Linked DNA regions of Caenorhabditis elegans. The gene in region 3 interacts genetically with the main gene of each other region. Each region holds a gene or a part of one and is shown on either strand. Other genes may lie near its edges. The genes, in order: lin-35, sem-5, let-60 and ksr-1.

The links.
Region 1: of let-60 (region 3) and lin-35, changing one enhances a phenotype caused by changing the other (phenotypic enhancement), as found in Caenorhabditis elegans (2 studies listed by BioGRID).
Region 2: of let-60 (region 3) and sem-5, changing one enhances a phenotype caused by changing the other (phenotypic enhancement), as found in Caenorhabditis elegans (2 studies listed by BioGRID, with this or other methods).
Region 4: of let-60 (region 3) and ksr-1, changing one enhances a phenotype caused by changing the other (phenotypic enhancement), as found in Caenorhabditis elegans (2 studies listed by BioGRID, with this or other methods).

Annotation. Positions count from the first base shown.
Region 1 is NC_003279.8:5,806,045-5,813,657, forward strand, and holds the start of lin-35 (Retinoblastoma-like protein homolog lin-35), read left to right. Parts: upstream 1-1,664; 5' UTR 1,665-1,685; coding exon 1,686-1,743; intron 1,744-1,995; coding exon 1,996-2,091; intron 2,092-2,376; exon of another isoform or gene 2,377-2,453; coding exon of another isoform or gene 2,454-2,594; intron 2,595-2,902; coding exon of another isoform or gene 2,903-3,134; intron 3,135-3,178; coding exon of another isoform or gene 3,179-3,353; intron 3,354-3,398; coding exon of another isoform or gene 3,399-3,492; intron 3,493-3,595; coding exon of another isoform or gene 3,596-3,775; intron 3,776-3,822; coding exon of another isoform or gene 3,823-3,951; exon of another isoform or gene 3,952-3,958; intron 3,959-5,444; coding exon 5,445-5,665; intron 5,666-5,927; coding exon 5,928-6,044; intron 6,045-6,302; coding exon 6,303-6,976; intron 6,977-7,026; coding exon 7,027-7,434; intron 7,435-7,582; coding exon 7,583-7,613. Other genes in the region: vps-51 (Vacuolar protein sorting-associated protein 51 homolog), read right to left, coding at 1-168, 217-648, 708-869, 921-1,095, 1,139-1,197; C32F10.4 (uncharacterized protein), read right to left, coding at 2,454-2,594, 2,903-3,134, 3,179-3,353, 3,399-3,492, 3,596-3,775, 3,823-3,951. UniProt on the Caenorhabditis elegans protein: Key regulator of cell division which acts as a transcriptional repressor and negatively regulates cell cycle progression in its active unphosphorylated form, but allows cell cycle progression when phosphorylated.
Region 2 is NC_003284.9:7,957,017-7,964,628, forward strand, and holds sem-5 (Sex muscle abnormal protein 5), read right to left. Parts: upstream 4,708-7,612; 5' UTR 4,697-4,707; coding exon 4,619-4,696; intron 4,569-4,618; coding exon 4,468-4,568; intron 4,297-4,467; coding exon 4,174-4,296; intron 4,127-4,173; coding exon 4,019-4,126; intron 3,971-4,018; coding exon 3,834-3,970; intron 3,335-3,833; coding exon 3,195-3,334; 3' UTR 2,437-3,194; downstream 1-2,436. Other genes in the region: sfxn-2 (Sidoreflexin), read right to left, coding at 346-618, 704-865, 1,136-1,281.
Region 3 is NC_003282.8:11,686,081-11,694,168, forward strand, and holds let-60 (Ras protein let-60), read right to left. Parts: upstream 5,009-8,088; 5' UTR 4,998-5,008; coding exon 4,869-4,997; intron 4,174-4,868; coding exon 3,979-4,173; intron 3,922-3,978; coding exon 3,751-3,921; intron 3,026-3,750; coding exon 2,966-3,025; 3' UTR 2,147-2,965; downstream 1-2,146. Other genes in the region: ZK792.5 (Nucleolar protein 9), read right to left, coding at 78-1,307, 1,747-2,037; ZK792.12 (CidA/LrgA family protein), read left to right, coding at 7,713-7,722, 7,771-7,847. UniProt on the Caenorhabditis elegans protein: GTP-binding protein with GTPase activity. The level of let-60 controls the switch between vulval and hypodermal cell fates during C.elegans vulval induction. May stimulate the guanine nucleotide exchange factor (GEF) activity of rap-1.
Region 4 is NC_003284.9:8,271,526-8,279,278, reverse strand, and holds the start of ksr-1 (Kinase suppressor of Ras A), read right to left. Parts: upstream 4,111-7,753; 5' UTR 4,061-4,110; coding exon 3,955-4,060; intron 3,913-3,954; coding exon 3,842-3,912; intron 3,201-3,841; coding exon 3,024-3,200; intron 1,870-3,023; coding exon 1,779-1,869; intron 781-1,778; coding exon 634-780; intron 1-633. UniProt on the Caenorhabditis elegans protein: Serine/threonine-protein kinase which positively regulates Ras-mediated signaling probably acting at the level of let-60/ras or/and lin-45/raf. Involved in sex myoblast migration.

The DNA.
Region 1 (7,613 bases), on a different chromosome or scaffold from region 3:
TAGTTCGATAGTTAATGGAAGAAAGTCAAGTCCAGGAATCACATAGCGGCAGGTTGAGATTTTTCGAAAATATCTATCAAGAGCCCGGACGACAATTGAACAGTCTTTTGCATCACTTGATGATAGAAAAACTTTTGAAACCAAAGCATGCAGAGAATTCATTTCCGTCTGTAAAAAAACTTTAATTTAATCCAAATCGTTTTTAAATTAACAAACCTTCAAAACCGTAATAAGATCTTCTCGTTTATCCTCAAATAATCGATCATGAGTTGTTGCAATCAGAGTGAGATTTGGAATAAAACTCTCAGAAGCTTTATCAACGAGATCCAAAACATCCGAATGATTTGCTGATAATTCTTTCAAATCTACTCTTAAAGATTGTTCTGAACACGTGAGCAACACTTTCTGAACTTCATCTTCATCTCTTCCAATTGTTAATAATAAATCTACAGCTTCTGATACTAATTCTGCACCAGAAGCCGGATTTCGCAGTTGATCCATTAATTGATTTTCCGTCATATCATAAATTTTCTTACTTTTTTGAAGAACTAATTGAACTGTTGGAACGTCTTTATACTGCGATAGTGACTCTTCTGCTAATTTGAACATTCGAAGAACTTCTCCATAGTTTCGCTCATCGAATTCACTCTGGAAGTTGTTTAGTTTGATGCAATATGAAAAAAAAGTTTTAAAATTAAAAATGTTACCCGCAGAACATGAGGAAGATCGAAAATATGCTTCAAACTATTCACAACTTTATACGAGCTTCCCAATTGTAGAATATCGTCACGTTTTTCGCCCAAAACTCCGTCAAGATTCCCAATTAGAGTCGATATTGTCGACATACTTCGGCTGAGAGATTTCATTTCCTGAAAATTAACATTAAAATTGTCTGATTTTATTATTATTCGAAAACTAACAGAATCGAGTTGCGTGAATTCATCTTGTATTTTTCGAACCGTATTTGTCGCAGTCAGAAATTTATTGTAATTTTCGTAGACTATTTGATGTACATCTGAATCAAGCCTTCTCACAGCTGAAACCATCTCCTCCTCTTCTTTTACTAATCCATCAAGCGACTTTTCACGGAGTAATCTGAATTAATAATATTTATCAGTGCATATCTCTGAAAACTAACTTGACGACAAATGCTTCGACATCAAAATCCGGCTTTGTGACGTCCAAAACACTAGACATTTTACATTCAATACTGAAAAATTAAAGAAAATTCAGGAAAACTCGAGAATGAAAAAAAACAGATTTGAGACACCATCAATACAAAGGGAACGAAATTTGGGGGAAATGCTGGTTGCCGAAAAAATAAGTAGAAGGTAAGATGTGTTCAACTGGAACATACATTTTCTGAATTGCAAACTCGATTTCTCTCACATTCACAATTTTTAATCACATTTAATGCTTCAGTTTTAGAAAGTTCTGAAGTATCCTCTTCTTCCTATTCAGTTTCTCAAAATCGATGGTGTCTCCAGGACGTGCACAAATGCGCTCTATTGCGAATTGTGGAACATCATTGCGCGCGCGACTAGAAAAAAATGAGCGCGTTCTTGAAAATTATTTTGCTTTCTCTAATTTTAAACGATTTCGATTACATTTTATCTGAACTTTCTTGGGTTTAATCGAATAAAAAACACAAAAATATTCTTCAGACTGGTAAAAACTTCTTCAATATGCCGAAACGAGCAGCCGATGAGCCTGGAACATCAACAACTGACCCATTTCACGAGCGTAAGCTTTAAATGATTTTATTCAAAGCGTATAATTATACTTGTCTGGAAAGTGAGGCGTTATCAAAGCTAGTTTCTCCGCCGCAGTGAATAGAAAAACTGATTAATGCAATTTGCGCAGGGTTCGATTTTTTCGAAATTTTTTAAACAGCGTTCAAGATTTTACTTGCCTTTCCATCAGGGAGAGAAATTTTTTAGAACTCAGCCTCAAATTACCGCAAATAAATTTAGATATTAATTGATTTATTTTCAGAAAGCCCATTCGATGCCGTGTTAGCCGGCACGGAGACAACGGATACAATATGTGAAGAGCCACCAGCAAAACGAATCGACTTAGATATAAAGCAAGGTATGGGGTTTTATAAATATTAAATCTGATTATTTTCTCCTTTTCAAAAATATTAAACAAAAACAAGGGTTTGCAGCCTCATGTGATAATCTAAATGACTGCTTTGTTTTACATATTAAGAGCATCCTTCGTTTTTCCAATAATTTTCTCTATGAAGATAGATATTCCCCAGTTCATTATCACCTTTATCACAACTCGCTATCATCTCCTACTTATATAGGAAATTATGAAGTTATCAAGCGCTCAGTCACCTGACTAGTTAAGAGGTCACTAACAACAATAGCTACCAATCAAGCAACATTTTTATTATTGCACACAACCACGAGCAAATGTCAAAATATACATAGAAGACAGAGTGAAATCTATTGAAGAACGTCACTTCGGACTGTTATATGTCCTGGTTCAACCACGTCACTATATGCAGGCGGCCGAGAAGTTGCACGTGGTCGGGTTGGATCTTCATCATTTGTAAACGCCGAATTGTCAGCTCCTGTTGGTTCACTCTGAAATTGTTACAGAGTTTTAGTGATGTCATAGGGAAAGAATTTTAGAGCTCATTCTGGCTCGAATTTGCTGGAAATCGGAGGTTTCCCAATAATAACCATTTTTCTGATATTAGTATTACTTTTTCGACTACAAGCGCTCCGTAACAAAATTTAGCGGGTTATTTGAAGTTAATTATAATCGCATTAAGACGTATTTATCTAATGCAGCTTATAATATAGAAAGAATAGCTTAGTTTTATATTATTGATTAATGAATAGTCGTTGAAACGGATTTCATAAAGCTTCAAAAAATTTTCAAAACTCACATTGGCAACTGTCAAAATCGGTGTCGATACGAAAGAACCACTCCTCGTTGATGCCGACGTCGTCGAACTCTCGCTATCAACAGGTTGTTGTTTTGTAGGAATCGGAGGAGCAGTTTGACTTGACATTGGTGGGGCGTAGGCGGTATATCTTGGTGGTGGTGGCATACCACTGGGACTCATTGGTGTTGGTACAATGTATTGAACATTGTAATTTGACGCCTGATGTTGAGGTCTGAACCATTGAATGAATATTCATAATTGAAATAATGGACTCACAATCTGTATGCATTTCTTCTGAGGAAGTTGTAGAGAATCATCATATATCGCATTTGGACGAGTGCAACAATAATACTAACAGTTAGGAAGAAACATGAGATTATAACCATTTCTAATTCTCCAGTTGTCATTTTTGGAACACATCCCTTCGCAGTGGTTACATCCTTTTGGTTATCTTCAAATCAGTTTCTTTATTCCGGAAAATTGTATTGAAACTAACCTGGATTGCAAATGTTATCATTGTTATCCGATAAATAAATACATGCAATAACTGCTCCCAGGATCAAGAAAAACACCCAAAATGTGTACATTGACTGAAATTGATAATTATTTCTCAAAGTGTATATTAACGAGAATATTGATGCTTCCATAATTGACTAGGAACATCGAATCTTGTGAGTTATATTTAAAACGTACTAGATATAACATGTAAGCAGTGATATAGGCAATTTTTCTACGCTTTGCACCAGTTGATAGAACAAACATCATGGCGCTTCCAATAGAAATCTCGAAAACGTAGAGCACAAATGGAGATGGATACAAAAGTCCGAATATTTGACATATCATGAGAATGGATCCGAGAATTCCAACAGCTCCCTGAAAAATGTTCAATCCTTGCTGAGATTCAAAATTTCTGAACTTACACCAATTGGAAGTCCACAAAATACCCTTGGCTCCGGTTCAGCAGCTATCCGCTGTGTTGGCTGATGTGGTTCAGCCCGTTGTTGCGGGTGCTGATACGGATCCGTCGTTTGAGAAGACTCGGTTGTCATGGTTCTTCTGGAATCAATACAATTTTCTTGGCTTATATGGTTTATAAATGCATTTGTGTGTGTCTGAGTGTGCCAACAAGAGACCTCTACGAGAGAAAAGAAAAGGAGAAGCAGAGTCGGGGAGGTGACATACGACTGATATGGTCGATGTCACGACAATATGATTCTCTTTTTCTCCCCCTTTCAATTCTTCATGTGTCGGTTGAGTAAATATTGCATGAAACTGTAGAAATGAGGGCATTGGGAGATAGAGAGAGGGACGTTGAAAATAGAGAAGAGCACTAGAATCAGCTGAGAGTATGTGGAGAAATAAAGAATGATAAGAACGTTGGAAGAAACTAGAACAATTTTGGCAGCTTAGTTTCGTCGTTACTTGATTTGTCACAATTAAATATGGATAAGTTGAGAATCAAGGATGCCAAAAAATATTTTTGACAAAAAAAAACAAAAAATTTCTTGTTCAAATTTCGTACCAAAAACAAAAAAAAATTGGATTTTATTTTTCTCGCGATTTAAAGTTAAAAATTTCGAAATTTTTTTTTGGTTTTTATGATATTTATACAATTGTATTTCTATAGAAATACCGAAAAAAAATTGGTGACTTATCGAATTTGTTTTAATTGGAAAAATATAATGGATTCAATTCGTTCTTTAAAAATTATTGGAAATTACTTTAAAATTGAAAAAATTGAAATTTTTTTCATTAATTTAAAAACTGACATCCTTGGGTCAATTCATTGCCATCTGGATAAATTTCCTTTAATATTGTAAATCATTGAGTGTTTCCAGTTGTGTAGGTCTCACTATGAAGAAACTATGAAAGAGGAAAAAGAAAATATAGAAAACCCATAAAAGTGGGAAAAAAACGGAAATTCGTGTTCTCCGTCGAAAAATATCACAATTTATGGGCTTATATGTGTGCGGGACAATGAATTCAATGTAATATTATTACTATGCACATCAATAAATTCAAATATAGCTGGTATCCACTCTTTTGGGTTTTTTCTTTTCGATATGCACCTATGGGAAAAGTATCAAATTTCAAGACAAATCAGTGGTTTTGTTCACGAGAGAATTTGCCTAGTTTCAGAAGGTTTATGAAATATCAATTAGTATTAAGAGTACACAAAATTATAGGATTTTTTGTTGAAAATTTAAAATGGTGCTTCTCCGTTTAAGATATATTTAACAAAAAATCTAACAAAATTAAATTGGTAAACGTTGATATAAAAAATCAGAAAATTGGTTTGGCATTTCAGAAAATATTTCAAGATGGATCAATCGTACTTGTTAACAGTATCAATTTTAATTTAATTTAATTTTTTTTCAAAATATAATAAATATGTTTAAAAATTCATTGATAATAAAAATTAAACGTTTTTCATAAATCAAACTTCGAAACATTTTCATAAAAAGGTAGCACAAGCAATAAGAAATGTTCTTATCACAGTCAACCTAGATGACATGAAATATTAAATGATAACTGTTTTCAGAATTCAATGGTGGAGTGCAAAGTGGAGGGCTGATTAAAAATGAATCCGAATTGACTCAAATGACAATCAAACAAGAAACAGAAGGAAACATAAATGAAGCTAGACGAGAAGAAGAAGACGAAGAACAAGATGAAGATTCCAGAACATCAATGCCACCTGCATTGGGAGAAGATGATGATTATGAGGAGGATGATGCTGATAGTTTTATTGATAAAACTAATGTAATACTATGTTTCTTCTAGTTTTACAACATAATATTTAAAATTATACGGAAAATGATGCGGATAATTTTAATTTTCATCAACACTTGAAAAAGGAAGTCTAGGACTAAGATTTTCTAAAAATTATATCAATGTCAACCTGAAAAGTTAATATCATAATCAGAAAAAAGTATTTTTATTAAACGAAAAAATGAAAAAAAAACCCCCTTTTTGCCCCTGATTGCTCAAATTAAAGTATAAAAAAGAATTTTAAACTTTTCAGACACCGCCACCATCACAATCATTTCTGGAAGGATGTCGAGCAGCTAATTTACCAAATGACATTGTTACTGGTGCATGGGAAACGTACAACCACGCGGTTCAACGGGTTTCTCTTGAGGTTAATTGAGTAGTCAACGAATGCGGGGAAGGGGTTTTTTCAAAACAAACCACTACTATATAATGTAAAAACTGAATAATTCAAGTAGCACACATAGTGAACACAAGTGTGCCTAATTAGAGCTTTCAAAATATTTTTATGTGTTCTGACAATTTTTCATTTCAAATGGCTATGAAATTTTTCACATTAAAAAATAGATATTAATCTGAAAATAGAATTTACTCTGCTGCTTCTTCTAGACAATAAAATAATTTTCAGGGTTCGGAATCGGCGTGGCAACTATCAGCAATTTACTATTATCTTCTATCAAAAGGAATAAAACGTCGTGGAAAAACAATCCGTATTCTCATTCAACCGTTTCCTGTTTCGATACTTACAATTGCCAACTCATTTGACATATCCGTTGCTGAAATGCTTGACAAAACTGCTCGATTTGTGGAAATTATACATTCCAGAAAAATTCGTCGTTATCAAGAATATATTCGACGAATTCAAGAAGGACTCGCAGTTTCTTGTGTGATATTCAAAAAGTTTTGCCGAATTTTCTGCAAAATATTCGAGGAGATCAAAGTTGGATCCGAAAATTGTCCATCTTCTCATGAACTTTTTACGGTTCTTTGGACATCTTTTCTGGTGATGAAAAGTCGAATGACAGTGGACGATTTGATTTCAAATTATCAACTTCTTTTTTCAATACTTGATCAAGTATATACCGAAATGTGTTCAATGAAAGAGGGAATAGTTCATCATTTGAATCAAAAATTTGTTGAAGATCTTCTTGAAAATGATTGTACGATTATTCGAGCTCTTTGCACACAATTTGGTGGAAGTGTTCTTGATGCACGGCACTTTTCTGATCATACTTTTAAGAAAATGGAGAAGACTGGAATTCCGTCCACTTGGAATTTTCAAGAGTTTCGAGATTTGATCATGTACGTTTTATTAGAAAATGTAATTTTAAAAACGAAAATAATACTTTCAGGAACGTTCCAAAAACGGCATATGAGAATTATCTATTGCAACGTGGAAGTATTGATGAGCGGATTTTCATTCCAAGCGTTGAGGACTTTTCAAAAATTTTCCAATCCCCGGACACATACTCAGTAGCAGATATTCTCAAAGTGTCTTACTCTGGAAGACGTTTCCGTGATGCAGAATTTCTTACAAAAATCTCAAATAATCATTGTCTGGAAAAGTTGGCATTAGGTGGAAAAGTAGCATCAGAAAAGTTGGTAACACAGTCAAAAGAACAGCCGAGAGTTCCGTGTGTTGAGTATAATCTCGAATTGGGAAATTATCCAGACGATTTGGAATCGAACAATCAAAGTCTTTATAATAGATTGACAAAAATTATTGGAAGCTGGAAATTGGAGAATTCGAAACTCGAAGAGTAAGTAGCGAATCTATTTTGCACAAAAAAAAGACAAAAAAGACTTTTTTTTCGGAATATAGTGAAATATGAAAAAAAGACAAGTGAAATATGAAAAAAAATGCTTCGATGTTCTTTGATGACTACAAATCAGAAGTATTTATTTCAGAGTGTGTGGCACAATGTCCGACAGTCCAATG
Region 2 (7,612 bases), on a different chromosome or scaffold from region 3:
GGTCTTCAGTTTACAAAATAAAAATACCATAATGGTTCAGCTGCAACATCATAGACAGCCTTATTTTAGAAAATCCAGTTTTTCATTGACCTCTCTTCATTATTAATAACTTATTGCATATAAGAAAAAAGTCAAAAGCGGAATGATTTTAGGAGTTTTACGTTTTGATTTTAATTTTGAATGGGTTTCAAAATAAATCACTGATAAGAAAGCAAACTTTAAATTTCTGTACTCCTAAATTTCAAAGCTTTCAGATTCAGGGCTACAAAGTTAACCTCGGATTAAAAACATTTAAAAACTTGGTTGAAACTAAAAAATACTGATTATTCTCTAATAAGTACTCACTTCTGACGCATCATAGGGATGTTAATAGCATTAGCCACTGCAACGGCTCCCAGTGGTACTAATCGTTGAGCCAAAGGACTGCTCTGTTTCTTAGCAAAATATGTTTTCAGCCCAATTGCCATTGCCAGTGCTCCAGACACTGCTGTAGAATACGATACAACTAAGTCTTTTGTTGTCAATGTGCTCTTTGCATTTCGATTGGTATAATTGACCAGTGCATTAAATGACTGATTTGCCCATTGCCAGAAAATTACAGCTGGCGTCGATTTGTACCTGGAACAGTAATTGGTTTACTTACTTTTATACTTTTACTTACTTTTACCTTTTAGCTTACTTTTAGCAATACTTTTTCACTTACCAGATCATCATTGCACCACACAGCATTGTACCACCCCAGACGTTGAAGCACATCCTTCCAGCAAAGTTCTGAAGTTCTCCAGTATCCGGATGAAAAGCTGATTGACACAGACGTTGCGAACGATGAAGTTCCTCAAGTGTTGCCGGCACTGGCTTCTTCTCTCTGTAAACGTTTTTTTTATTTTTGAAAAAATTTCTTCAAAGATATTACAAAACTGTATTTAACACAAATTTTGTGAAATTTTTAATGTTGCTTGAATTACTTCAAACTCAGACCCTTAAAGCTCTTATATCCGTTATTTCACTCTAAATACTTAAGAAAAAATACAGCTATTGTAATATGTAATTTAACTTTTTCTGATAATAAATGTTTTGGTTAAATCAAAAATTCAATTTGTTTTACGTGTACAGCCTAATATTAAAAAAATTATACCTGCATTTTTGCATTAACTCCGATGCAGTAATGAGTTCTGTTGTTGAAGAAAATGCAATCAGTGGATCTGTCATTCCAGCGAAATGCCGCAGTCGGCCGTAAAATGTTGATTGATCATATCGTGGCTGATCTGGGTCAAAAGCCATGCCTGGCTGAACAAAAAAACGTTTTTTTAGAAAGATAATCAATGGGAAAAAACCAATATACTAAATTTAAAGAAGGACGAAAACATAAACGAGTGAGACTGGCAGTTGCAAAGGTGCAGACAAAATACGAAAAGGGAGCAGGGATAGTGAGCACACGTGTTTAAACGAGACTTGACTTGGCTTTTGCGTGGCATAGAAACGTTTGGCTCATCTCGAGTGCCCTTGAAACATGATTGCTTTTTGCGTTTCGTTTGAGGTTTTCAAAAGTATTATTTTAAAAAAAGGAATAAAAATTTACTTTATTTTTTTTCTTTTTGAGCATAATTAAAACAATAGGTGAAACATGTTCAATTAAATTGCACGTTGCAGTTTTTTCCGTATTCATCAAAATAAATTCAGCCCGACTCCTTTTGGAAATTTAAATCCTGCCAATTTTGCTCATAAACAACTTGCATACATTTCAAATTGCGAATTTTTAAAAGGTTTTCAATGCAAAAAATGTTTTCCATGGAATATAATTACGTCAACTGAGCATCAAGCTTCCAATTGTCGTTTTGAGACTATAAAACGGTCTGTAAATTCGTGATATCACGAAACAACGAATATATACGGCTTTATATTGTTACGTTTTCTTTCAAAATTCAATTGTTAATCAAAGGTGTGGTAAAGCAAAAGACATTAACGTTGCTTTAAAAAAATTGAGAGCACTATTGCATTTTTGAGACTCACAAATTATAATTTAAAAAAATAACTTAAAATTTAGAATAAATTGTTATCTGGTATATCCAAGAAATAAGTAAAGACGGCGCGCTTTTTGGTTGAAAAAAAATTGATTTTTAAGTTCGAAAAACATACCACTTCACCTTTTCCGTTGACAAAAGATTTCACAACCCATTACGCTCATTTTAATTATTATCATTGACTCGTTATAGAATTTTAACTAATGGTTTAATTTCGTTTTTAGAGCCGTATAAACTTTAAAACTAATCGGAGAAGACTTTTATTAAAATTCGAAATGTCTGAGTATTTTGTTCAAACTAGCTTGCAAAATGTGAAAATGTCATTAAAGGAAACTCCACATGCAAAATTTTCCAGATAAACTACTTTGCATCTACAAATTATGTTCTGTAAAAATTATAGAAAGTGGATTAATATAATAATTATTAACCTTCATTGATTTACAAAGGGATTGGAAAATACTTGACAAATTCGATATAAAAGCAAGACGGCGAGTAAAGTGGGAGGCAGAGAGAAGCTTCATGATGCTCTCGACAAGAGATTGAGCCGGAGGAATAGAATGAAGTGATAAAACTATATCAGAACAGTGTGAGTTGTGATAAAACCGAACAATGTAGCACCGAACGAAAAATCGTATTGGTTTTGGATGAATTGCAAAATGTCAAAAGAAAAAGAGAGACAATGACGAGAAATGGCAAATAGTTATGACAAAAATTGCATGAACACAAAAAAAAACAAATGCGAACAGTCTCTGAGTATTGTGTCAGAGTATCTAATCGCTTAATAGATCCGTAATAGAATTGGTGTGGGGTTGGAAGAAAGCGGGAAAGAAAAGGCTGTTGATAACACAACAAGAATTGTATCATTGCCAACGAAACCGAACAAAAAATCGATAAAACATTGCCAATGGCAGTTCCAAGTTGCAAAGAATAAAAACATTGAAAATTCATGGTCTACATGTAAAACACGAACAACTTATCTCAGTTTTGAGAAAGTTGTGAAATTAATACCCAGCATTGGAAAGTGTGTTTGTGACAAGATTTAGTGATTATTATTGGAGATTAAGTAAGAGAGGGCTTATTAGACTACTATGTCAAGAACAAATGGTATAGAAGAAACATTGAACGCTCCTTTTAAAGAACGAACAGAGACAGGAAAAATCCTAAAATAACGTCCTAATTTCCAAAGTTGAAGCCAGGAGCCACGTTGGAGTTGCTCTTATTGCTATTGTAAGGGCATACGTAGTTGGATGGGAAAATTCCACGCCTGTTGTTCAGCTGTCCTTCCCACCAGTTTGGATCGTCTTTGTTGATCACTGAAAATAAAATATAAGAGATTTTCTAAATGTTTTATTTTTCGGGGTTGCTCAACCCCGACAAATAGATGATCAACCGATTAACTCTATTTTTACGTTGTGAACATTCATAATGCTGCAAATTGTATCTTGAAATCCAATGTTTCTCCGAAAAGTAAATAATAGCCACAGAGTTTTTTCATTTCAATTTGAGTTTATACAAAAACTAATCTAACAACTGATTTTCAATACGTGCATTTATTTGTTCCAGTGAAAGTTAGTTTAAGCAAGACGTCTCATATTATCTTCCTAGTACTTTGTATTACCTTTTTGTTATTTTTATGGTTCTTCTTAAATATTCTTGTTTTAAGATCTATAAAGTGAATAGTTTCAAAATTTTCGAAATACAGTCCAAGATATATCCATTTTTACCATTTTCAATTAAACCTAGAATTTTTTGATTCAAACTTTCAATTGAACATTTTAAAATCATGAAAATTTGTGTTTCAAAAACACTTACAAGTGATAACATCTCCTCTTTTGAAAGCTAGCTCTCCACTCTCCTGTGGGTTGAAATCAAACAGGGCCTGTACAAATTTAGTCTCCACATTCATATCTGACAGCAATATTGTGTGAGTACGCGAAACAGAAGCGGTTCTGAAAATTATTGATTTTTTACTTTTTTTTTGAAAAAGTGTGACTCACCTGTGATAAGCAACTAATTCATTCAAAGAGTTGAATTTGACAGCCCACAAGTAATATTTACCATTTTGATCACGCAAAACTTTGAAATGTTGTACAGAATCTTGGAATCTGGAAAAAAATGTATAACTTTTTGAAAATCTATAACATCTTCTTACCGAACACTGATCGAAAATTCTCCTGGACTACTTTCACACTGTCGGACAAGGAAATGACCATCACGTACGGTTGGCTTTTTCAGCAATACTTCTGCGTCATTTCTTGTTATTTTACCAAGGTACCTAAAAATCCAGAAATTTTAAAAATTGTTTACGCAAGCGTTCTCAGTTCTTCGCGCCCTAGCTGCGGGGTATACAAACAAAAACCGCGAGAAGTAAGATCGACTGATTTTTAAAATATAAGCTTATAGATTAAATCCTCAAAAAAGTCAAACTATTTTTTCCCGAACATACCAATTGCATTCAGTCATACGAATATAATTAGAAGGAATGAATCCTTCATTTCCATCCAATTCAGCTTTATACCAATGTGGATCTTCATCTTTGTTCAAAACCTGCAATTATTGATTTTATCAGGGCCCGGTTATGATATTGTTGAACAAACTTTTAGCGTGTTTCCTCTCTTGAAAGACAACTCATCAGGTGATCCCGCCTGGAAATCATGCTCGGCGACCGCCTCCATCGTCTCGCTACCTGAAATATACTCTTTGCAGCTTCAGAAACAATTAACACCAAAATAAAACATAACAGAGTACATTGAACAAACATTGTTGTCAATAAATTGGCCTGCTTGAGAGACTGTATCTACATATCGACATATCCGCGCGGCGCCAATGAAAAATTATTAGAGCAATAAAAAAATCTAGCGGCAAAGCATAGAGGAACAACTGAGAGGGAAAATGAGAATGAGAAGAGCGTAGTGCAAATTGTAACAGGAGATGAGTAAGAGGACCGGCGAGAAAAAAGAAGGATAAATGAAATTGAGAAACGCAGAACGCAAAATAAAAACCCGCAGGGTCACTAGTTCGGTGATTGAGGTGGTTTTAGTTGAGTGTTTGAACGTGAAAACGGGGAAACAGTGGAAACAGTAGAAACCGGAGAGTAACAAACCGGGGCAACACTAAGTGTCGTCGATTCCGGCGCATTGTATGCAACACTAAATGTGCCGAATGCTACGACACTACTTTTCTCTAATACTCCAAATCTATCACGCGTTCTTCGTGTCTCTTTTTTCTCTCCCATCTTCGCACTGTCTCTATCTGTCTCTCCCACACACACACAAAAACAACGGCGAGTTTGGGCAGGCCGGACCGTACTGTTTTCCGCAATGAGTTCTGTAATTTACATGGTTTCAAATGGAGATTCAGAGAAAAAAGTGCGATACGCTATCAGCAGTCATCATGCACGTCTTTTCTTACACTTTTGAATGAATGGCCGGAGAAACGGAAAAGAACAAATGAAAAGTGATAAGAGAACACGAGAAAACGAAGAAGAAAGAATCAAATTGAAAATGCTCCAAGGCATTGGGTATTGCAATTCATCGATTAGAAGAATGTCAACAAACACACTCCCACCTTGTCCTGTCCAGCCTGAGGTGACTAACCGTCTAGAAATCAAAACATTTGGGTGTGCTGGGTAGTCAGTACCGATTCTCTTTTCAAAAATAAAAATGAAAACTATTTCGGAAATAGGGCTAGAGATGATAAATTAGATAGGAAACATAAATAGATTGCAACTTCAATCAAATTTTTGAACTTCAGTTGCTGGAAAATTATTTAGCAGTTAAAAAATTTAATGAAAATTACGAAATAAGACTATAATTTAACCGATATAAAAAAGATAATCGAACCTGTGACAGTTACTCATAAATACTTGACATTTTAATCGGTGAGTGTACGTAAATATAATAAGGAATAGTGTTTTCTAGCTGGAAACCAACTGTATTTACTACTAGTTAGTTTGACAAATGTGTATTTACCTGACTAATACAAAATCGTAAGAACAGTATCTATAGTAAAACTAATATATGACTGAAATTAACTTTTTTAAGAACCAAAATATTAAATTTTGTCACTGGTTCTTTAAATATATCCATATAACTTTTCTGAAAATTCTCACTGTTTTACAGTGTGAACTTCCAAGAGCAAGGTTATGTGACTGATTTGTCAATAAATTTACTAGGTTCCGTAGTCGGCAACTCGTGGCCACTTCTCAACCTACTTTGGCCACTTTCTAACTGCCATTAGATTTCCACCACTTCCCACTTCTCGACCAACTTTCGTCAACTTTCACACACTTTTTCTAGTTGCTTAGAGCGTAAAAACCCTGTTTAACCAACTTTTGCCACTTTTGCAAATGACAGTTAGAAAATGGCTAAAGTTGGTTGAGAAGTGGCGCCGATTTACCGAATAGATTAACATTCTCAGTAAAACATTCTGAATTTGTATCGTTAACAGAAACTTAACCCAAATTTTAAATTTAGGGTTTCACTTCATTTAGAGGCTTGAAAACATTGCCTCAAAGATGTGCGACATATTTCTCTTGGAACATTAGATAAACTCACGAAATACCCATTTCAATATTGTTGGATTGCGCCTTTGAGGCAGTTTTTGAACACTTTCCTAATTCTTTGGAAATGAGAAAAAGGTTATTATCAAAAAACTAAAAATGCTTCTTTAAAATTTTATGTAATTTTTTGATTAAAAACTTCGACACAACAATAAAACTAGTATCTTGTAATTGTGCAGAATAAATGTTGAAAATTTGCGTTAGTAAAAGAAACGTTTTAGCATCGAACTCCAGAAATTTTAATTAAACAATTTAAATTAAAAGTTTTATTCTATTTACTGAGGGAGGGCGATATCACCAGAAACGCAATTTTAATTGGTACACAATTCATTTAGAAAGAGCAATATTATGATTTTTACGAGCTGTAAACAATTTTCATTTGTACATTATCACAAAAACAAAACGATAATGTTTCATACAGAAAATGGAACTCTGCATCGAAAGAAAGAAAACGAATGGATGCTTAGGGGATTACTCATCATCTCGGTTCAGAAACAGACACATTCATCTGTCACTTCTTCTCTTCCGAAAACTTATATTGACAACGATCTGTGTATGCATACACGCTTAGCTAAAAAGTGTTGAAATGCGCACTCCAGAATGATTTGGTTTGGATGCGAGATGAATCACTCTCAACACTAGTGCGTAATGTATACGGGGGGCCTTGCTTGAACACATAGAAATGGAGGGTTCTTGTGAATAATGGATACTATTGGGATGTCGAGAAGAATGAATCTTGCTGGTTTCATATTGCACCTATTTTACTAATTTCAAAATTTATTCCTACAACAAAAGTACTAGTTTTACTTTTTTGAAGTTGCAGTGCATGCTGATTCAAAATGGAGCATGCAGTGTTAAACTATTCATATGCAAATATAAATTTAAACGAATGTACATCACTTCTAAAATGAAATATCGAGAATGCACATGGAGTGTGAGAAACATAATAATCGCGAGGAGTGGCCACCAGCGACGACTATTCAATTTCAAATAGTTGCCGCGAGATAGGAGCTCTCTTCGGAGGAGCAAA
Region 3 (8,088 bases):
TGTTATTTATAGAAATAGTCCACTTCCAAATCTATTTTTCAAATGATTATGTAGAAGTCGTATACGCTATAGCTAACCTTTTGTGTGAACTTCTGAGTATCGAAAATGCTTCCATCACATCCATTCAAAGTAAGCACGTTGAGTAAAAATTGTCCTTTCTTTGCCTCTGAAGCTGCGCGGAAATATTTTCTCAGTTGTTGAAGCATGGTTTTCTCGGATGATGGATATCGTGCAGCACATCGGATAACCGAAAGGAACACACCAGAATTCTGATGTTCAAGCAGAGAAGAACACTTTGGAGCCATTGTTTCAATTATTTCAGTGACCATTTCCAACGATGTTGAGCTATTGATCATTTTTTGAAGAGGAAAGTTTGAGAATCGATTATCTGTCAATTCGTCAACATTTTTACTGCAAAATTCAATCCATAAAAGACTTCGAGCATCTTCTGAGCAAGTTTCCATCAGCTTATCCCAAACACGAGATCCATTTGATGAATACCATGCCTTCGAGATTCCTTCAATATCTTCCTTTTCGAGCTTCTTCTTCACATATTCATCACCTCTTTTGTCTCCCCAAAGCCCATCGGCTTCAATAAAATCTTGAAATAGTGTCACAAAAATCGGAGAATCCATAAAGGTTTTATTAAGATTCTCATCGAATGCCAAGATTGCAAGTTTTTCATAAACATTCTTCAAGCTAGCCTTCATTTCTTGTCCTTTGTAATTTCTTTTCTTTTCCTCTCCAACCTTTGGCCTTGCTGACAATCCACAACACACCCAGACAATAGCTCGAATCAGAAAACTCGAAGGTTGTGTTGTAACAGCATCCGCCCAGTTATCCATAAGAATTCCTGCTAGTTTTTGAAGAATCTCCACATGTTCTGATTCGGCGATTGGGCACATCGAGAATATCAAATTTTCAATTGTCCTAGCACTAGCTCCTCCGAAAATCAGCTCAGCTAATGTTTTATGCTTGAGACGAGAAATCGATGAAAGGAAGAGAGCTGCTCCTTTAGGACAACTTCCAAATACAGATTCAACAACAACGGCTGCTTCTGTCCACGAGAGAAGAGTTTTCTCCTGGCCAACAACTTCTTCAGCACACTTTTCCAGAATAAAATCTTCAATTTTTCCCTCTTTCTTCTTGATTTGTTCAATACTTCTCAGATAACCAACAATTTCTTTCGGAAATTCACGACCATCTCCATCTGGTCGAGAGTCGTTGAATGAAGCCGAATCAGCTTGTCCGTAGCTATCCGGTTGTCCTGAATTCGTGTCATCACCGCCGCCAACTCGACCGTATTGCTGTAAATTAAATAAATATATACGTTTTTGTGGTAATTGCCTAGGGAGCGCTTTGGAGTTCATTTTATCGATTCTTCACAGAAAAAAGTCTCAATATATCGAATATAAATTTTTTAAAATTCAATTTCAAAAAAATACTGAAATATTTGTGAATTCCCGCGCTCATTTTTTCAGACAGTTTTTCGGAAAGAAACCTCGAAAATCCGAACGAAATTCGATAAAATGAAATTGGTCTAAAACCTATAATTCCACATTTTGAACAATTTTTGTCCAGGAAAATGACTAAAAAATTCAAAAATAATTCGGCTTTTTTTTATTTTTTGCAAAATAATACAAATTTTAGAAATGTTTTTAACTCGACATATCGAAACTTTTTCTGTAATTTTGAGTTTAAAAAGCCAGAGACGCTACATCACTCACGACACCATCTGACACAAACCTTCTCAAAATCTCCGGCACTGAATTCTCTGTTACCACCGAATCCTCTTCCACCACCACCACGTCCACCTCTATCATTTCTTCTAAATCCACCATCTCCTCCTCTTCCACGACCTCCTCCACCTCGATTTCCACTTCCAAATCGTTCATTTTTGGCTAGAAAAGTTCTGAAATTGTTTCTCTCCTCCTGTGGCTTCTTCTCAGCATCAGCAGCAGCATATCCGTATCCTTCAAATGAGTTTTTCGCTGGAGGATTCTCATCAGACTCTACATTTTTCCTTTTTCTCGTCATTCTAATAAATTAAATTTAGTTTTTTTTAAAATCATGCTCCGATGGCGAGGTCAAAATATAACACTGAAATTAACAAAATATAGTTGAATAGATTTAAAAAAATAATATTAGCTTTTTAAAATTTATATCATTGCAATACTTCCTTGAAAATAAAATAATAATAAAAACTTGATCAAAAGAATAGGAATATTATATTCAGATAGGACTATAAAATGTAGAGGAATAGAGAAAAATGAATGCAATACGAGGGAGCAAAAACTTTCAGATGTTCAGAAAATGTATGAGAAATGGGGTCTAATTGTATCTATATTATAGTTAATGAAAGAGAAATAATTACTTGACAAAAATGAGAGGAAACAGAGAAAAAATAAACGGAACGACCGGCAGATGCAAAAGAATTTAATTTTCAGAGAACTTCTGAAAATAGATGAGGCCAATAATTTGTATGAAAACGAGGAAGGGGAATAAAGCATCAAAAAAGCAATACAAACATTCTGAAAATATGCAGAGAAAGTGAAAAAAAAATGGTGCGATGTTTTTTTTGGTAGAGTTGGCCAATTTTGGAACGAGGAGGGGGTTCGGATGCATGTTTTAGATATGGATCACACACTACAGCTAGTTTTGACACCTATGAATGAATGGAGATTTGGGCTAAGCGAAAGATGAGGAATTAGAATGAAGGATGAAGAAAAAAAAGGAGAAAAAATAATGACGAGCAGACGAGAGAACAAGTTCAATCGATGCATAGAGAAAAAAAGGTGGAAATTCGAAGAGTATGTAGAGGCGGAAGAGGATCGATCACAAGTTTCAGATAAAACAGATAAATGAATAATGAAAATGTACCAAAAAAGTACGAGAAAGGATAATTGGGTGGGAGTTGACACGACTGAAAATGAGTTGGCGAAATTGGGCAATTCCCGACGCTGAATCACATTATTTGACACTTCTTCTTCTTTTGTGGCTTATTATTGTCGTGACGCTCACGATGCTGAAATAAAAAGAAAACATTATTAAATCTTTCGGATATCAATCTAGGGTGTCATCAAAATTTTTTTTAGAAAATTAACAATAAAACTCAATTTTTTATCAGATTTTGTGCATGCTGGTGAGAAAAAAAACAAAAGAAAACATATAATTTTCTTTAAAAATTAAGAAAATGACCAAAACTTTGAGCTTTTGTTTCGAAATATCGGAAAAACTTACATTTTTCGTTTTTAGTGAAAAATGGAAACTTGAAACTGTTGATAACAATAATAACATTTTAGAGCTTTACAAAACAGAAAATTTTTAAAAACAACGTTTTTGTATTACTCAAATGCAACATTTGGCGATTTTCAAATTAAAGATGCGGTGCCCGGTCTCGACACGATGAATTTGTGTTAAATGCAAACGTATGTGCGCCTTTAAAGAATACAGTAACTTTAATATTTCGTTTCTGGGGTAATTTTCACCGATTTATTAAAACTGCTGTGTTTTTAAATATTTTTATAATATCGAAAACTTAAAAAAATTGATGAAAATTCCGCTGTAACGACAGTATAAAGTTACCATAATATTTGAAGGAGCAAATCGAACAGACCGGGTGTCGTATTTTTGGCGCGAAAATATCAAAATCTCGCGTCTTTCAATTTTCATATAATAATGACTGAATTTGTACCTTAATTGTACATTAAAAACATTATTTTTAATTTAAATTTTTAACTAAAAAATTACCTTGCGAATTTCTCTAACAAGTGTGTAAAATGCTTCATCAACTCCCATACGCGTTTTGGCAGATGTGTCGACATTCGGAATACCGTAACCCTTTGCTGTCTCACTGACTGTTCGGAAGTCGACTGATCGAGATGACAAATCACATTTATTCCCTACCAAGACCATAGGAACCTAGAAGAAATACAAATATTCAACCATTGACTGATAATTTCAACAAAAAAAACTCACATCATCTGAATCCTTTACCCTCCGAATCTGCTCGCGGTAGTTAGCGACATTCTCGAAAGATTTAGCCTCGTTGACGGCGAAAACCAACAGAAATCCTTCGCCTGTCCTCATGTACTGATCACGCATCGCCGAATATTCTTCTTGTCCGGCGGTATCCAATATGTCGAGGAGGCATGTCTCACCGTCTATCACAACCTGAAATTAGAATATTTAAAAACTAGCTCTCGGAGCAATTTTTAAAACTGAAAAACTATTTTTACTGGTTAAAAACTCAAATGAAAACACTGAAAATTAGGGCTCAATAATATTCTGAATTTCAGAGTTTAAAGATGAATATACGTTTAAAAAAATTTATACTCCTCACACGACACGAGCAGGCATGCTGGTTTATCGATTTGCTTTAAAAAAACAAAAAATCTAAAAAAAAGTTTTGGGCCCTTTCTCAAAAAAAAAGTGAAATTTCTGTTTTTTGTATAAAACGTAAAACGGAATGTAATTATTGAAATTCGTCTGAGAAATATCGATTTTGGAGTGTTTTCAGAATTTTTCCGGTTTTTGCAAAAACTAAAATTTTCGGTTTTCCAATTTTTTTTTGTGAGAATTTTCGGGGGACAATGAAAAATCATGATTCGAGCCATTTTTTTCAGTTCCAGCCATTTTATAATGTCGTGTCCAAAACACGAAAAATTGGTTTTTTTTCGAAAATTTCGGAATTTTTCGTGTTTCAGCACGATTTATTCGTCTTTGGAATCAATTAAACAGCTCGATGTGTTTCAAAAAACTTCCAAACTTCTGACTCATCGTTTTTTTGTTCAATTTCAAATGCCATCATTTTCGTTCAATTTGCTCCCACCACATGTGTGTAGCGGATGTTCCCAATGATTTCTCACCTGCTTTCTGTAGCTGTCCTCTATGGTCGGGTCGTATTCTTCGACAAAGTGATTCTGGATGAGTTGAATGGTGAGTGCTGATTTACCAACTCCTCCATCTCCAACTACCACAAGCTTGTACTCCGTCATTACCCTTTTCTGAAAAAAGACGCATAGTTGAATATGGAAAAATGTAAAATAGAGATGGAAATGAGAAAACGAAGTGGAGAAGGATTTCTGTGGGAGCACTGCCAAAGAGCAGCTCTGCCTATCGGCATACTCAGAATTCCGTTTCTTTTTTTTTTCAAAAAAAAGTTTCGATAAAGGAGAGTAACTACCAGGAAAGAAATAAAAAACCGATGATGACTACTTGAGAATAATTGAGAAGATAGAAAAAGAATGAACTTTCCTGTTAATAAACTAGGTGGTGAGTCGGAATGAGTAACTATTTGAAGACGACGGAGAATGAGTCATTACAATTTGAAAAAAAGAAGAATTCAAATAGTTTGAGTAATTTTGAACTTTAAAAAATGGGGTAATGCAATTATTAAAAAAAAAACCAGGAGAAAAAAGGTCTTCACTTCATCAAAAATTGATTTCAAAGCGATGAAGAAAAAGGGGGACAATATAATGTTAAAATCGGTGAGACGGCGGACAGTGGTGCGACCCGACCACTTATTGTCGCTGACAAATGGCTCGAATCGTCGTTTTTTTTCGTCGGTTTCTTTTCGGTCGCCCTCAGTGTCGAGTGGGTCTCTTTCATTTTTCTTTTTCACTTTTCCAATACAAAATTCTCCGATCTCTCGTTAAAAGATTGCAGAGATTGAGACGTAGAGAAGTAAAGTTTTCCTGACAAGCATTTTTCACAAGGAAACAAATAAATTTACGAAATTCAGTTAGAAAGTTTTTAAAAAAACGTTCAATTTTACTTTGTTAAATATAAATTGTTTAAAGAAGTAGCATGTTTAAGAAACAATGATTCCCGTAGGAACTATAAGCAAAAACTGACAAAAAAGAATAATGAACTTACGAAATCACTCATCTCAACTATTTCAGAAGTTGAGAGATGAGAGATAGGAAGGAAAAAGAAGACGTTAGGATTAGTAAGACCGGAAAAGAAGACTGCCCCTTCTCTCACTCTGCATTTTTTTTTCTTCCACACTACTTTAATCCTATCACACAATTTGGGATGCGTTGCTCCATCTTTTCTATCTTCTCATTTGGTTGAACCAAGGAGCGGGTGCGTGCCTAATAAAATGGATTAAGCTAAAGACGAATAGAGAGATGAACTCGGGAGGAGAAAATAAATAGGCAGAAAACGCTTCAAGTGCAAGATTCTGAAGAATTCTTCTTCCTTCTGATGATGGAGACGAGAAATGAAGTTCATAGGAAAAGAAATCCGAGGCTCTGGAGTGCACAGAAGCACAGAAACCACACACTCTCTCTTTCTTTCTTTTTTATCTCTTTCTCTCGCACCCCCCATACACACACACAAAGTAAGAGTAAAAGATAAAGGAGTGCGGTCCCCACCATGCCGCTGCTACTGCTGCTACTGCTACGGCGGGACAATTAGAGAGCACTAGAAACGGTGATGCATAGACACGAACGACCGCGACGCGACAGCCGCTACGCTTTTGACGGTTTTGCGACGACTGTTGGGAGAAGAGACAAGAAGTGAGCGTGTGTGAGACGAAACAAGTGTGATTTGTAAAAGAGAAAAAGAGTGAGAGAAAAGAACTGTCCACTTTCTTTTTGTATCGACCCATCCCTATCTGTTTCTGACGATAACGACGACGACGAAGGATGGTGATAACGATGAATTGAATTATTTAATGGAACGCATGCAATTTTCGTTTCTAGCAAAGGCGGTGGTCTCTTTTTGAAAAAAAAAAACTATTTCCGCCGACGTTAAGTGCTTGAGATTCTTTCTGTCCAATTGAAATCCTCTAAAAAATAGTTCAAGAATTTGAGGAATTCGATTCAAATTGTCTAAGTGCTTTTCTTTGAATGTCCAGTAGATTTATATTTGAATTTTCTTTGTTAATCTACTTTGGGAATTTCTAAAAATGTTTGCTCCCAAATAATCTAGAATAACTTAGGATTTTTAGAAAAAGTTATGACATAACTGAGACAAAAAGAATTACAAATTGCATGAAATATGCCAAGAACGAGAAAACTTGATACTTTTTGAACAATTTTTGCAAAATATATAATTATCGTGGTATTTATTTAGTTTGAAAATAGTGGTGTCAACAAGAAATGACACATACTTTCCAGTAGAATTTGATATTAAAATATATTGAAATGAGCAACTAGAGGAAATGAAAACCTGAAAACAGATATTTCATTATTGAATTTTCGAAACGGTTAGTTTTCAACTAATCTAACAGTTTTATAAACTTCAAGTTTTCTCAAAAATAATATTAGATATGCAAACTTTTTTCAAACATGGCTTCGATAACGTCTTGAATTTTCACAAAAAGTCACATTTAATTTGGAAATTCGGCATTTTTTCCACAGACTTTTCCACAGTTTCAATACGTTTGGTAGGTAAAAATTATGATGGAAATATACCATTCTCAACAGTGTATTTTTAAATAAAAGTTTTTCCTCGGTAGTCTGGAAAAAAAATATATTAAAAGTTGCTTGAAATGTGCCATGAAAACACGAACTTGTGACTTTTTGGAACAATTTTCACCAAACATTATAATTTTAGTGATATTTAGTTTTAAAATAGGGCTGTCAACAAGAAATAAGCCACACTTTCAATTAAAATATGTTGAAATATGCAACGAAAACACCCACTTCAATAGGATCCAAAATTAGAGACTCAAAAAATATCTACGAGCGCGGAAAGAGAAGACGATGGAGCACAGTGAGTCGAAAGAAAGAAACTCCCGGAGACAAACTCTTTTCAATTTAGTTTCATTCGGCCTAGTCGTCGTCGTCGTTCTCGCAGTCGGGGGCCGTATGCACTTGACAACTTGGCTCTCTTTGTGACAACAACGAGTACACGTTCTCTACCGCTGAGTGATGGAGAGATTGACTCCGACGATAAATTATCTAAAAGTGGTGTACTCCACGATGAAATACCAAATAGAAAAAACCAGGAAGTTCAAGAGTTGCTGTTATTTTTTTGGAACAATTTTCGAAAAATCCAAAGAAATAAAGTTCACTAATTATTTTGAGCATTGAAGAATCTGTGAATTTTGAAAAGATTTTTGTCGAGATTGTGATTTTT
Region 4 (7,753 bases), on a different chromosome or scaffold from region 3:
GTTCCGTCTGAGATTTTGAGCCAGGATTACACTGAGTAAATTTTCAACGGCTGATTTTTACTTGAATTGCCGTATGATGGTATGCATAGAATTTTTTTAAAGCCAATTAGTCTCAAAGATGAATAACCCTTTTTTAGAGAATTTGAAACGCTTTGTCGCAAAAAAGTTTTTTTCCATCCCGAAAATCGTTGTAATTGTCTCAAATAATGAAAAGTGTACCAACAAAAATGTTAATTGTTTTGCTTTCTGTTTGTAAAAAAATATTTTATCACTATTTGCAACAATTCTTCTGCAAAGACCCCTAGTTTTGAATTCAGTTTTTGTACATAATAGTATCTCAAACTTATCAGTAATTCAAAATTCTATCATCAAATATTACTTGCATTTTCAACCAAAAGCCTCAACTATCCAACTTTTAGAAAGCTGACAGCTTATCCCACTCCTCAATGTTTTTGGCAAATTAGTCAGTCTGGTCTTCCAACTATTAACTAATATTCTCACGCTAAGCATTTGTCACATGTGCGTCTCATAAAGTTTTCATTTGACACTTGCGAGAATTGCTTCAGAATGAATAATTGCAAAACCGCAGTGCAAAATTTTTGTTTGCTATTTTTTGAAAGTTCAAAAACTAACCAAATCCCATACTAGATGACTGAATCATTTTGGCACTTGTGACTGAAAGTGAAGGAACGTTAAACTTCGGACTTGGCGTAACAATTGCTGGTGTTGACTGTCCTGACGGCTCGTCAGTGGATCCACTTGATGTGCGACTGTGATACGCTAAAAATAATTGAGATTTAGTTTATGTAGATGAACTGATGTTTGTTTTGAATTGATACCGTATATCATTTACATGAACGTTTGCAAAAACTGAATGATTAAACATCACATGATCTAATTCACTTTTCCTGACAAAATTACATCAATTGTATTAATTGTACATGTTTTAAATAAAATAAAACAATTCCATAAACATTTTGTGAAAAGGTTTCATTCTAAGAACAAATTATTTTCACAACATTTTTTCGAAGTAGATGAACCATAGAGAACATTTGAAAGATGTGCGGTATTTCTATGTCAAATTTGCTGGTTCAATGTGTATCATTACACTACATTTTAAAAATTTTAATTTGAATAAAAGAATAAGGTTGATTTTTTAATTCTCAGGCTGCTTAAAGTATTAATTCTAAAATTAACAAATAAACCGAAAACGACGTTTGAAGGCGGACTCCGATCTGCGGGGGAAGTTTTTCAAAACCATTCCTATGGTACAAAAATAATCAAATATACCATAATAAAATTATTCCAAAAACTTTGGAAAGTTTTTTTTATTTAAAATCAAAAAGCTCAATACTAAATGGTCACCAGTTTTTGCGGAAGTCCTCCATCATAAAATTTTCCATTTTTTATTTCAATTACATTCAAAATATTCAAATTTTAAAATGTATGGGGTTTGAACATTTGACAGTGATTTAAATTTTCAAGAAGTGGAGCAAACTCAGTATAAAATATGCTTCAAAATTGTTTTAATAAAAACCGTCTTGTTTTTTTTTAATTTTGCAGTTACCATCTCGGGATTGATTAAAGTTAAATTTTAAAGTTTGATTAAAAAATGTCAAATTACTGGTTTTGAGACTATAAATTTTTATGAAAATAACTAGAAAAGTAAGGAATTTTGAGAACATTTTCAAAAAATAACAGTTGCAAAATTTTCGTGGCAAGAATTATTTTCTTCTACATTTTACTTAATACAAATTTTCAAATTGCCGCACACTTACCGTTCCAGTGATTTTGTAAAATCACTGTAGATTGAAGCAACTTTCGTTTGGTCTCCACATCAAGACGACCACGATCCGCAAGCGATCGCAACTGAAATAAACTTTTATGTTTGGGTTCAAATGTTCAGAAGGCGGAGCACAGAGAAACTCGGTTAAAAGTAATGAAACGAGCAATAGAAGTTTGATAACATGCAGACAAGAGTGAAAACAACTCGTAGAAATGTAACAGGTGTTGTTGGAACACGAATGACGTTACCGAGTATACGGAGGCAATGCAAAAAAACAAAAACGTGTATGCTTTGGATCGCTAAAAACAATGAATGTTCCAGAAATGCTTCAGCATAGTTGTTCTCACAAAAAACATTCATTCAAAATCAACTCTAATATTTTGGCCAATTATCATATGAAAGGCCACTTGAAGTTTTCAAGTTTTGTTTCGAATTCAAATTTAACAATTGATTTGTTCAATGTTGTTGTAAATTAAATGGTAAAGTTATCTTAAAAAATTTGACAAATCAAGTTTTAAAAAAATCTTCAATGAAAAAAAGGAAATTTTTAAATCTGAAAAATTACCAAACTAGTTGATTTGTCAGATAAAAGTAAGACAAATTTCATTTCGAAAAACACTTCCTGCTGCAAAATGACTAAATGAAAAGTCGAAACTCAAATTCAAACAATTACGAAATGAGATGATAAAAATCAGTCAGATACATGACTTATGCATGTGCTAGCTGAGAGAAAGTTCGTGAGTCTTAAAAAACAACAATGAGCAGAATATCAATAGGTAACAATTAACCTAATCCTCTTTTTCTGTTTACTCTTCTTTTTTTGGATAACAAATTAGCTCACAAAAATCAGGAAAAAAACGGAGAGAGCTGCAGTTTTCTGGCCTCTAGAGAAAGAGAAGAGTGGGAAAGGAAAGGAGAGAAATGCAGAAAGTAGAAGGTGAAAAGAAAGAAAGAAGAGACGGAAACAGAAACGGAAAAACGAGAGGGAAAGAGCGTCAAAGCGCACTCCCAAACACCCCAAACCAATGGGAAGCGTAGAGGGAAATGAAAAGAAGTTTAAGAATAAAACGATAATGTTGAAGGTTGTGACCCGAATCAGCAGAAAGACATTTAGAAGGATATAGATATGCCTAGAACCCGATTTGTGAGTGTTTGTATGTTTCTGTTAGGTGTAAAATCAGGAAATGATGTGTGAGAAAAGAGAGAAAAGGTAGAGCAAAAAAGAGAAGGATCAAACCTCTTGGTTAGTGATGCTGAACAGAGCATTGAAATCGGTGATCGAGCAAATCTCCAAGTGCCGAATGTTTTGTGCGCTGAGCCCGACAAATGTGAACCAAATGGCGTTGATCTCACGCTTCTCGCGATCAATCAAACCAATTTTTGTCATTTGATAAACGGCCGAGAATATTTTGCGCTGTAAATTGAGAATCATTGGAATTTAGTTGACGTCAATGAAAGATTTCAGACCATTTGTTTCAGGTTGTTTCACCTTTTCATCTGTCTCTGATATCTTGATTACTAAAATTCGTAGAAAAAAAGAGTTACATTCACTTAAAGTTTTTAAATCTATTTTTTAAAAGCTTTGATATTTTGATATTTTTTCATATTCAAAATATCATAAACTCACTAAATTTAAAACATTTGAAAATCAACATTTGTTTGAAAGTAAGTTTCAGTTTTTCAAATATAACGATTAGCGTTTCATGCACGAAGTTGTGCATCTAAATTTTTAATTTTTTAAATTTATTATCAAAATACCATTATAGAATTTAATTATACAAATAAACTTTACAGTATAAACGGAAAACGTCTAGAAAAACGTTTAGTACCACAGATTGGTTTACCACAAAGATCTAAAACAATTTGGACTGAGGTGTCAATATATGTATAGTGTATTTTATGAACAAAACTTTAAAGCATCTTAAAAATTTTTTCTGCTGAATGAAGACTAGTCTGTCTTGAATTCATTTATTTACAGTTTATAAAACAACGATGCTCACGAATAGGAGAAGTTTGAATTTTTACAAAAGTTGTTTTTTTTTCAAAAAAACTTACTTCTACACTTTTTGCATCTTCTTCGTATGATGAAGTCAAAAATCGATTGATAGTGGTAAGTTTCAAACATTCTGCAACTTCGAATTGTTTTTTTTTAAATTTTTTTTACTAACCCTTCAAATTATTTATAGCCTGTGTCTTTATATCCTGTGCGATTCCTGCACCAAACTGCGGTAGATTACTGTATCCCGCACGTGATGCAACTTGGGTTTGCATCATTCTGTGTATTGATATTATTGGTTAGTTTTTACCTTCTCCGGATCTTTTCCCTGAAATAAATCTTTCGTTGGTTGAGCACAACGTTCAAAAGGTTGCCAAGAAAAAACAGTGCTGGTTTTTGGTCAACTTTTGGAAATCCCCGGTGCAAACGGAGCACGCTGTGAGCTCACACGTGCGCCACACTCTTTTTTGCTTGGTTTCTCATTTTGTGTATGTGTGTGTGTCGTCGCAATTATCAAATGGCTCCCTGTGAGCTCATCCTTCGTTTATGTATGTGTGGTAGTGGGAGCAGGGCAATACGAATGTATTTGGTGCTTTAGAAAGGCGTTAAATGACTAGAAAAGCAAACGAGCAAGTAATATTGAAAAGTGCCGAGTTTTTTCTGTTAGTATGGTTTGCATTCGTACTGTAAGGGAGCAAGACAATTAGAGAAAATATGTGTATGCCCCACAGTACAGTCAGAAATTTCAATTCATGAGTTAGTAAAATCTACAATATTTTCTTCCTACAAATTCCATCACAATTGGATGTTTACAATTCAAAGTCAAATTGCGATGACCAATATAAGTATGCTTACAGTTTGTTTACTATTACAACATCATCTACTCAAAAAAGGTGTGTATTAACCTTCTAGAAAAGTCGAAATCGTCCGGAAAGTAAATTAAAAGCTTTCGGCGGCTTTCTGCCATCGAAATTGTGAAGGTTGCGTGGCGAACAATTATGAGACAGGTTATGTACATTACTCAATTTAGAAGTGACGAGAAGAAAAGAAGAATTGGTATTTTCGACCACATTTTCTTTTCCGGTGGTTAGATTAGACTTATTACATCACAATGTCCCGATTTTTTTCAATGGCATTCTACTTTTATTTTGGCTTCTTTTGTTTCTTTAATTAGAATACTGTTCCAAATCCAATAATTGTACTCTACCAATATTAAATGTGTTTTTTTATTGAGTAGAAATATTCAACTATTTCACTTAAAAAATCGATTATCCTTTATCATCACTCCTAAGTAATTATAGTTTATCAATTTGAGTTTTACATTTTCCTAGCTTTGCGTATTAAAACTACCACAAATACAAAAATTAGGAAGCTTAACTTTTCTTTCTTTTTTAATTTTTCGCTTTCACATGAAATACCGAACAACAGTATGGCGCTTAAAAATTAAGCAATGCCGACCGAAAAGAGTAGTTGTGAGAAAAAATTGCCATAAGGCTTTGGTCGGAAGTTAAAAGAAACGTTGCATTCAAATACTGTTCAATATATTGGAGAAAATAATGCTAGAATGCTGAGAGTTGTGGAAAGAGAAAGAGGAAGAAAGATCGGCGTGCAAGCAAACAAACTGTTTGAACGTGATGAAGAGAAAAGGGGAGAACGGTGTGGATTGACAGTAGGAATAGTAGGAAAGGACGCAAAAATGTCGGGAAGACGGGAGGATGGGGGGAATAGTGTATGAATAAGAGAGAGAGGAGACTGTATGTCTATGGGGTGAGAGAAAATGGTCCGCAATGAGAAGACCACAACAGGTGTTCAAAATGTTGCGTAATCAACTTAAGAGTAGGTCAAGATTCATACCAGGAATGCATTGAACAAGCTTTTAGTTCCTGGTTTGCTGGCAGATCACAACTAATTTAGTGTAACATCTCGGCAAAGTCAACATTAAAAATGTTGTTCCTGCTCGATGAAAATTTTGAAAGTAATTATGGGTAGTTTGTTGAACGTGCCAAAAACTATGGTAAAGTTAGCCAAAAATTAGGGTAAAATATAAGTACTGAAGTAATAGCAATTACGTTTTAAAAGACGACTAATGGACCAAAATGTTTAGACTGTGTTTTAAAAAGAGACTTCTCAAAAAATGCTGTTTAAAATGAAAACCGATTGTATTTAGCAGAAAAATTTAAAGTTTACAAATTTATACGCGTCGCAGCGGACAACAAACATTTTTTGTTGAACTATCACTATTCATTGATTTTAGTCCTTTATTACAAATTTTATGATAAAAGACGTGAATTTGGATGTGCATTGACAGGCAACCAATTTCGGTTTTTCGAATGGACATTTACTAAAATTCTCCTGTTTTCTCTATTAGTATTGTCTCAGTCTGTTTACATTTGGAAACCCATAGCTTGTTTATTTTTTAATTTTATGGAAAATTGTTATCAAACAAAAATGTACAGTATCTTTATCTACATACTTTTAATTGTCCATTTTCGGAAAACTAGAAATCGATTCAAGACATAACTTGTCAAAATAAAGTAATTGAGCGGAACACTAATAGAAAAAAAGAAAACACAAAATATACAACTAATATATGCAATAAAGAGTGAAAATTAGGTTAAACTGATTTTGAGCCCCTGTAACACATAAGAATGACATAACAAGATATGATGTAGATTTTGACTTTTCTCTTCAAAATTTTGAACTACCATAGATCCTTCTTGTTAGGAAAATATGATCATATTTTCTTTTAAAGTTTCAAAAAACGTTGTGAATTTCTGCTTTCAAAATACTACTTGAAAATTAAAATAGCTTTAACATAATTGAACACTTTCTATTAATGAATAAATAAGCTTTCGTCCTCCGGAATTCCGCTGTGAAAAAATGTGTCCAATTCTAAAAAATATGAACTCATGAGTTCCTTATTATTATTTTTGCATGATTTCCTCATGACACAGTCGCGATAACTAACCAAATTGAATTGCGATCTCAAATCAGAACATTGAGCGAACAAAAGGTGGAAAGCCTAAGAGAATGCATTCCTATTTCGTTGGCTCCAGTTTCAGAAATCCATGCCATTTTGGCCGGAAACGTGCACTCAAAGTGGTTGCCGCTACCAGAAGTCTATTGTGTGCGTGTATTGTGTACATTTTATATGAGAATGTGATATTGAGCTTTAATGAAACATTGAACTCATTTTGAATTTGAATGTTGAATTGAGTATTTTGTAAGAGAGCAATTTGGTCATTTCATATTCTGAATAACAAAAAAATGCGGGAGGTTGCTTACAGGCTGAGATCAGAATCCCAAATAATAAGGAAAGTTGATACTTTAATATTTTATTCATATAAGGGCATTAAGCAATGTTCAGTTGTTTTTTACTGCATTTGTAAAAGCAAAAAAAGACAAAAATGGGATATGCAAAAATAAACTGAAAATAAGAATTCTGAAAAATTGTTCTGAAAACTGCAAATGGAAAATTATTCTGAAGCTTTACATTATTCTGAAGCTTTGTTGTGTTTGAACATTATTGTAAAATTGGAATTTTGGGCGTTACAAGGTTTGAAAACATTCTGGGGAAACGAAACCCATAAGTAACCAATTTTTGCAAAACGATGAGATTAGACATAAATAAACATTAAGCTGGAAACATTACTAACCGTTGATTTAAAAAATTAGGAAAATGTTCTTAATTTGTTATTATTAAAAATGAAGATAATACGTGTGATCTGGATAAAACCAGGCTGAACGAAAAACATACACATTTTTAACGAATGTATATTTTACAAACTTAAATTTGGAGATTTATGAAAATAGTTTATATAGAACTTCTAAAAATTTAGTCCACTCATATGCTTGCCTCATCATGCACTTTGCCAACTTCATAATCCAAGAAGCCCAACTAGTCTAGATTTAGATCAGAACATGTATTTATCTGAAAGCATGTAAGTATTGCCAGGTGCATAGCTTCTCAA